Linked DNA regions of Cricetulus griseus. The protein of the gene in region 2 interacts with the protein of the main gene of each other region in a biochemical or structural test. Links are inferred from orthologs where the notes say so. Each region holds a gene or a part of one and is shown on either strand. Other genes may lie near its edges.

Evidence for each region.
Region 1: the proteins of Nf2 (region 2) and Sptbn1 form a complex in vitro, tested with the Homo sapiens proteins (2 studies listed by BioGRID and IntAct). The link is inferred for Cricetulus griseus from reciprocal best matches to the Homo sapiens genes NF2 and SPTBN1.

Annotation. Positions count from the first base shown.
Region 1 is NW_023276807.1:77,212,529-77,216,181, reverse strand, and holds part of Sptbn1 (spectrin beta chain, non-erythrocytic 1), read right to left. Parts: coding exon 3,511-3,653; intron 1-3,510. UniProt on the Homo sapiens protein: Fodrin, which seems to be involved in secretion, interacts with calmodulin in a calcium-dependent manner and is thus candidate for the calcium-dependent movement of the cytoskeleton at the membrane.
Region 2 is NW_023276807.1:100,111,695-100,115,347, reverse strand, and holds part of Nf2 (merlin), read right to left. Parts: intron 2,850-3,653; coding exon 2,736-2,849; intron 1-2,735. UniProt on the Homo sapiens protein: Probable regulator of the Hippo/SWH (Sav/Wts/Hpo) signaling pathway, a signaling pathway that plays a pivotal role in tumor suppression by restricting proliferation and promoting apoptosis.

The DNA of each region.
Region 1 (3,653 bases), about 23 Mb from region 2:
AGAAAGCATTAGTTTATCGGGCCTGTGCCTCTTGACAAGCTCTTGTTTCACCGAGTAGAGCCAAGTCACGAAACCTCAAACCTAGGTCTGTACCTATGTTATTAAGTACTGTTCAAATAATGAAACAAATGAAATGTACAGGAACACAGACAGGGTAGCTGAGGAAAGGTTCCCCACAGGTACCCTGAGACGTAAAGACATTGTTTTGCAGGGGCACATCTAGGTATATTCTCCTTGACTGGCTGGGTGTGGTAGCACACACCTATAATCCCCAAACTTGAGGTAGATGCAGGAGGATCAGGAGCTCAAGGTCACCTTCAGCTAAATAGTGAATTCCATGCCAGCCTGGGCTACATAAGATCCTAACTTCAAAAGCGGGTCGGGGTGGGGGTAGGGGGTGACAGATGGCTCAGCAGGTAAAGGCATGGGTCATATAAGCGTGATGATCTGAGTTTTAATGTCGAAACGCACACACAATGGTAGAAGGAGGGGACCAACTCTAGAGTTGTCATCTTACCCACACATGTACAGCTAAGGTATGCATGCCTCCACAACACACACCAATATTTCTTTTAAAGTTAACACTCTTTCTGTGCCAAAAGGGTGAAAAACAGGCTATCACTTTAGATAATGGTGGGGGTTTTCCATTATAATAAAACCAGTGACCCTTCTTCCTTCCTTCCCTTCCCTTCCCTTCCCTTCCCTTCCTTTTTTTGAGACAAAGTCTCTCTTCTCTATCTTTATGTAGCCCTGGCTATCCTGAAACTCACCATGTCAGCTGGCCTCAAGCTCACAGAGGTTTACCCGCCTCTGCCTCCCGAGTACTGGGACTAAATGTGTGTGCCATCACACCTGCTGACTATCTAATACTTAGATGTGTATTTTTACTATGTTGTATATAAAACACTTAACATATTAGCAGTGTCATACATTGAGACACAAACCCGACATTTTCTGGAGATAAAATTATGTGACCAAAGTCTACAGACAATAGTCCTGGATGAGCCTTTGGATGTCTGTAAGAAGTAGCTGGAAAAATGCCAGGTAAGGACCTTCCAGGGACAATGAGATGGGGACACCCAATGCTGTGAATTGGGAGAAGGTAGACTATGACCATTAATTGTACAAATGGATTTTAAGTGGTGGCAAGAACATGAAATTTCTGAAAAAATATACACAGAAGAATCAATGGGATTTGGTTTACACATCTGAAGGCACTGGGTGTAATGATTTCACTAGACCCATGATAAATGATAAATGGGTGTTTATTGGGGACACTTACACAGAAAGATATAAAGAACCATGGAAGCACTTCTCTCCCCTTCCCTCCAGATCAGCTGACCCAAGAGAAAAGATCTGTGCAAGAGAGACCACACTTTAGCTTCCCTCTTTCTGCTTTAGTCTGCCTGAAGCCACACCCAAAGGGGTGTGGCCACCATTTCAGGTTGACAGGCAAGACACTGACTGCTACACACATCTATGGTACTTTGAGAAATAGTCTCTAATACCAAACTACTTTTAAGGTATGTATTTCAGACTATCATGAGCAAGTTTGTAGGAAATGACTTGAAAATCAATTTTCCTATCATCCAAACATCCAAATCATCATTTCTTGTGTCTGTTTTTTTTTTTTTTTTTCTTATAGATTCTCAAAATAAAAGGTGGGAGAAGCTAACACAGGGAAAATTCACACAGCAATTAAGTACTCAAGACTGTTCCTGATTGACTGCTCCCTTCCCACTGCTGTACCCCTATATGGAATGGAAACAGTGGCAGGTCAAGGCAGCACAAGAGAACACAGCCAAACAGACGAGGAGCCTGTGCCAGGGCCGCCTTCTCCTTTGTACTGATTCGATAGGGGAGTGCTTGCAGGAGGGACACACATCTTTTTATGGCTCGAAATTGCTTTCTCAGTGAGATGGTAAGGTAGGTGCAATCCAGCAGGCTTAAGGGAGTTGGTTTTTGTTCTATGGGTATTAAGACTCACCATTCTCGTGAGGCAAAGCGATTTAAATAAAAACAGGAAACCACTTTCACCATCTCTTGAGCCTCCTATAGTTCTAAAGAAAATAGTTTTACAAATGCAGAGGAAAGATCTGTTTCCTGATAGTCTCTAGGTATCTCAAAAGTGCTCCTTAGCATTTGTTATATGACTGGGACAGTGTCAGATCTTACCCTAGGGCTTATGTCTTACAAGAATTGTTTCAATCCTCAAAGCATCAGGAAACTAAAGTGTAGAGGAGTAGGTTAACTCCCAGCCACAGAAAGTGGCAGAACCAAGAATCTAAATGGAGGTCAGAAGATAATGGCAGTCACGAGGATCCCTCCACAGAACAAGTCAAAGTACTGGCGCATAGTGAAGCTGATGATACTCAACTGAAACCACCAGGGCCAAGTGTGGGCCTTTATTGGTGGGGATGTGGGTTAATTATTTACTGGAACATAGCCTCTGCCCATTCATTTACCCACTGGGTTGCTTATCCTAAAACAGCAGCACAGCATCTGTATCCAATAGAGATAGCATAGCCACAAAGTCAAAACTATATACCATCTGGTCTCCTACTGACCCTGCAGTAACCCGTTTTTTTTTTTTTTTTTTTCTTAATAAGTCCTGACCAGCTCAGGATTAGAAAGTCAAACAAAACCAGCTTCTTCTCTAGAAAGCATTTTCAACTGCAAGATCTCAGACTAATCAGGAAGCTACCGAGATTAGAAGGCGATGAGAGTGATCACATTGGAGTCTCACTGCTACACTGTTCACTTTGTCAACACCTTTGAAGCACAGTTTCAGTGCTAAGCCACTTACTGCAGTGCTGGAGCTAAAAGATCAGGTGTGTTAAAACGTTAGGGTCTAGTCTCTACTAGGAAGAAGATCCAAAGAGAAAAGAAGAGATCTTGGGGATAGGGATGAGGAGAAAGTAATGAAATATATACCACAAGAAAGCAGAAGTGGGGCCATCTGAGGAAAGGAAGGGAAGTAGGGTCAGGGAACAAGGAGTGGGGCAGTGGGGAAAGGGGAATAATGGAAACAAATATAAAACACCCATTTATCAATATGACTTCAGATTTATCAATTTGTCTGCTAACCTAAAAAATTAATGAAAATAATCAATGCAGAAAAATAAACTAATATTATTCAAATAAAAAAGTATAGATTTCTTTCTTGGGATGGTTGGTGGGAAAAAAATGAGGTATTATTTTCCAAGTGATCCTGATGGTCATGTTAACTAATAGAAACTTGTATTCAGGCCTATTAACTTGCAAATGCTTACATGTGCCTCTACTAATTTAAACACCAGCATTTTCATCTAACAATATTTGCAAGCATGACAAATTCAAAACTGTACAGACTGCAAAGCTTTCCTGTGTGTGGAGTTTGTGTGTACACACGTGTTTAATCTGGGTAGTCATTTCAGATATGTTCTGAGTAGCCATGGGATACAGAGAGGCTCATGATGCACAAAGATAATCTTACAAGGAGCCTTCCTTGCACTGGGCAGCTCCACCCACCTGAGTGCCCAGAGCCTGGATATCATGCTCAAAGGTGGTGTGCATTCTCTGTAGGGTCTCCACAGTGTTCTGATCTCGTCCAAGCTCCTCAGGGAGTTTCTTGTGTTTGTCCTGGATGCGGCCAAAGATCTCCTTGGCATCAT
Region 2 (3,653 bases):
GTCACAGTGCTGCAGACACCCAAGAACGGACAGTTTCTGAAGGCTCACTCTCCTCTGGGGATCCTTCTAGTGTCTTCACTTTAGGTAGCCTGGGTCATTCTCGTTGTCTGCTGCCCCCTGTCCTAAACTAACTGCAGAATTAAAAGCTGTACTCCTTGAAACAAATTCCAATAGGGAATACAAATTACAAAACCCAAATTCAGTCTCCATGACTTCACATGGCTCTGTTCTATGACTGGCAGTTCTCCACATAGTTCCCCCTTCCCCAAAGCAGTGGCCCAGAAAAAAACAGCTCTCTCATCTGTTCAGATGAGCCACCTTGACACTGTTAGTCCCTATGGCCCCTTCACACAATTTCATCCACAATAGCGCACTCAGAATTTCACTGCAGGAAGCTGCAGTGGCTTTGCATAGTCTTGTACAGCCCCATGTGGAGGCAACTCAGAGCCAGGCAGGAACACAAACCCCACCCTTACAGAAACAGTACAAAGCCTCTACTGCCACCCCCAGCCTTCTGGATCACAGTGTTAATTGGGCCACCTGCCAAGCTTAATAAGGGACCAAGACTAAAGACAGCACAGTTCTCCGTGACTCCAGGGCACTGAGTTCAGAAAGCAGGAGCCAGAAGTGACCAAGGTACTATTTTCTGCCTTAGATAACAAAATCATGTTTAATTACTCTTTCTGGCTTCAATCTCACCCAAACTCTAGTACTACAAGGCCACCCTTTCTAAGTATGAGCTCCCTAAGCACCCTGTAATTGAAAGAATCATGCAAAATAGATAAGCTTTAAGTTCTTTGAGTTTCCTCTTGACCTCAGTGAACAGTCGGCAATCTGTTCTTCAATTCCCACTAAAATATAATTTCTATTATTCTCTTTTTGAAAAAAAAAAAAAAAAAAAAAAAAAGACCTGGCTGTCCCCAGTTCCCAGCCTTGTACTTTTCATGAGACTTTTACCCTAAATAATACTGACTTCCTGTTTTCAAAGCAGGTTATGACTTACGAAGATTTCCAGGTGCAATCTGTCCTCTGAAAAGAGGCATCACCAGTTCCACTTGACAGATGAGAAAACTGAGTCACACAGACAAAAGATTTAGCTGTAAGATCACCATGTTCCACTGGATGCATTTGCACTATTCCCTTCTAGGGTCCAGGGGCCTTCACTCGCCTTGCTGCCTTTAGATCTCTAACTTCTAAACTTTCCTCTGCTGAAAGTGAGGTCAAAGAGTGTGCTTCTTAAAGTCATCACTACACCCCCATGCTAGCTTAGTAGCATTTTGTTGTTGTCCAAAAGAACCTATACCATCATCCCTAACGCATTAAAAAAAAAACACTGATGGCCCATGTCCCAGAAAGCAAACAGAGGGCAAGCTCATAGAGCAATGGCTCAAACTGCGCATTTCTCTCTAAAGCCTGGTGCTGGGAGCCAGCCTCTCTGGGCTTCCCAAATCAGAGAACACCACACAGACTAATTATTACACCTCTGAGCTTACAAGTCCTGAGGGGAGCCAACTGTAGCTGTAGCTACTCTATCAAACACATCATCCCAAACCACAATTGATATTCTCAGCAGCAAGGCTCAAATTAGCTGTGGATTTCAGTGAGCAGAGGAGTCTGTGAGCAGAAAACATCGATGCAGCTAGTCCAGTCTACTGATAGATGCTGCTAGCACCTCCTGCAGAGGGCCAGTCATGTATGCCTAGGTTGACCTGCAGTGAGGAAATGCAGCAGGAACCTAATCAACATTCTACAACATGCCCTGAATGCCACCTTGTATTCTATCACCATCTAATTAGGAGGGCACTGACCTGGTAGAGGAGACAGACATAAAAAAGGACAGAAAGACAAAACCATGCCTGGCTACCTTGTCCCAAGTCTGTGATAAGTATAGAAATGATAAAGATCTTTTGTTTTTAAATATGCTATTAGAATTTAGTATTAATTTCCTTTAAAATTTTTATTATGTTTATTTGTGTCTGTAAGTGTACATATAGCAGTCAGAAGACAACTTGTAGAAGTGAGTTTTCTCCTTCTATCATGTGACTCCTGGCTATCTAACTAAGGTTGTCAGGTTTGGTGGCAATTACCCTTACCCACTGAGCCATCTCACCAGCCATGTGCTTATTTCCATAGCTGACACCCCATTATCTGGGCATTAGCTAAAAAAAAGATAAAACAGGAAGGAAATAAGAGCAGATACATCTATTACCAGGCTGACAGCAGCCATCCCTTATCTCATAGGCCAAGACTGACCAAAAGCAATACCAATTAAAACAAGGTCTTTAGGCCAAGTGTGGTGGAACACGCCTTTAATTCCAGCACTTGGGAGGCAGAGGCAGGAAGTTTTCTGTGAGTTTGAGGCCAGCCTCGTTTATGGAGCAAGTTCTGGGACAGCTAGAGCTGTTACACAGAGAAACCCTGTCTCGAAAAAAACCAAAAAATAAAACAAACAAAAAAGCCAAACCAAAACAACACAAGATCTTTGGTTATTATTATTCATTATTGTGTGTTTGAGTGAATGCATGAAATGTGTGGTACATGTCCTATGGTACAAGTGTGGATATCAGAGGACAACTCTGGAGTCCGTTCTCTTTCCATTTTCCACCAACGCCCGGCCAAAGTAGATAGATGTTCTTAAAGAATGATAATAAAGGTTGATCTGTGGCCTCCAAAATCAAGAGCACAAATACATATATACACAAACCACATGAAAGGAACAGAACCTGAAGTCTTACCTGCTTTCTTGCCTTCTCCTCCCTGGCCTGGGCTTTCATCTGCTGAACTTCTAAAGAGTCAGCCTTCCTTCTCCTCATAAATAGGTCATGGTTCCCAATACACAGCTGGAGAATCTGTAGCCACAGAAATAGAAAACATGTTAAGTGTATACACTTACTTTGCTGCCTACCAGCCCACCATGCCAGCATCTTGGGCTCTGTGAGCAGCAGTAAACCAAGGAAGAAAGAGTGGATAAAGCACAAAAGCCCTGCTAATGTCTTCTAATGCTCTCAGTTCTGGAAACATGTATGATGAAGGTGTCTCAGACAAACCAGGAGATCACAAGTGAAGAGAGGACACTGCATTAGTTAACCAAATGTACCACAGTCTCCTAAGTCAAGATGTGGCAGGATAGATAGGGGGACATGGAAGACCAACCAGGAAGTTGGGTTGGGTTAAAGGTCATTCATGTGGAAAGAAATAAGCTCTCCTTCTCCCTCATACCAAAAAGCTGATTCCAGTTTAAAAGGTAATTTGAAAATATAGAGTATTTTTTAATCAGGAAAAAGATGTCAAGTAAAAAAACACAGAACAACAAATAATTGAGGATTGGTTTTTTTTTTTTTGGTGGGGGGCATTCTGGGTCACAGCCCTGGATGTCCTGGAACTTGCTTTGTATACTAGGCTAGCCTCGAACTCACAGAGTTCAGCCTACCTCTATATCCCAAGTGCTGGGACTAAAGGCATGCACCACCACTGCCTGGCTATGACCAAATATTTTATGTGTTGACATGAAAGGTGAAAATTTTTATTTGCTATAACATCATAAAGAAGGAAAATGAGCCTCACAAGGAGGATAATAATTAATAAAGAAAACAAACAAACAACCCAAGAGGAAAGTGGCCAAAAGACATGAAGCAAGAATTTAACTGAACAGG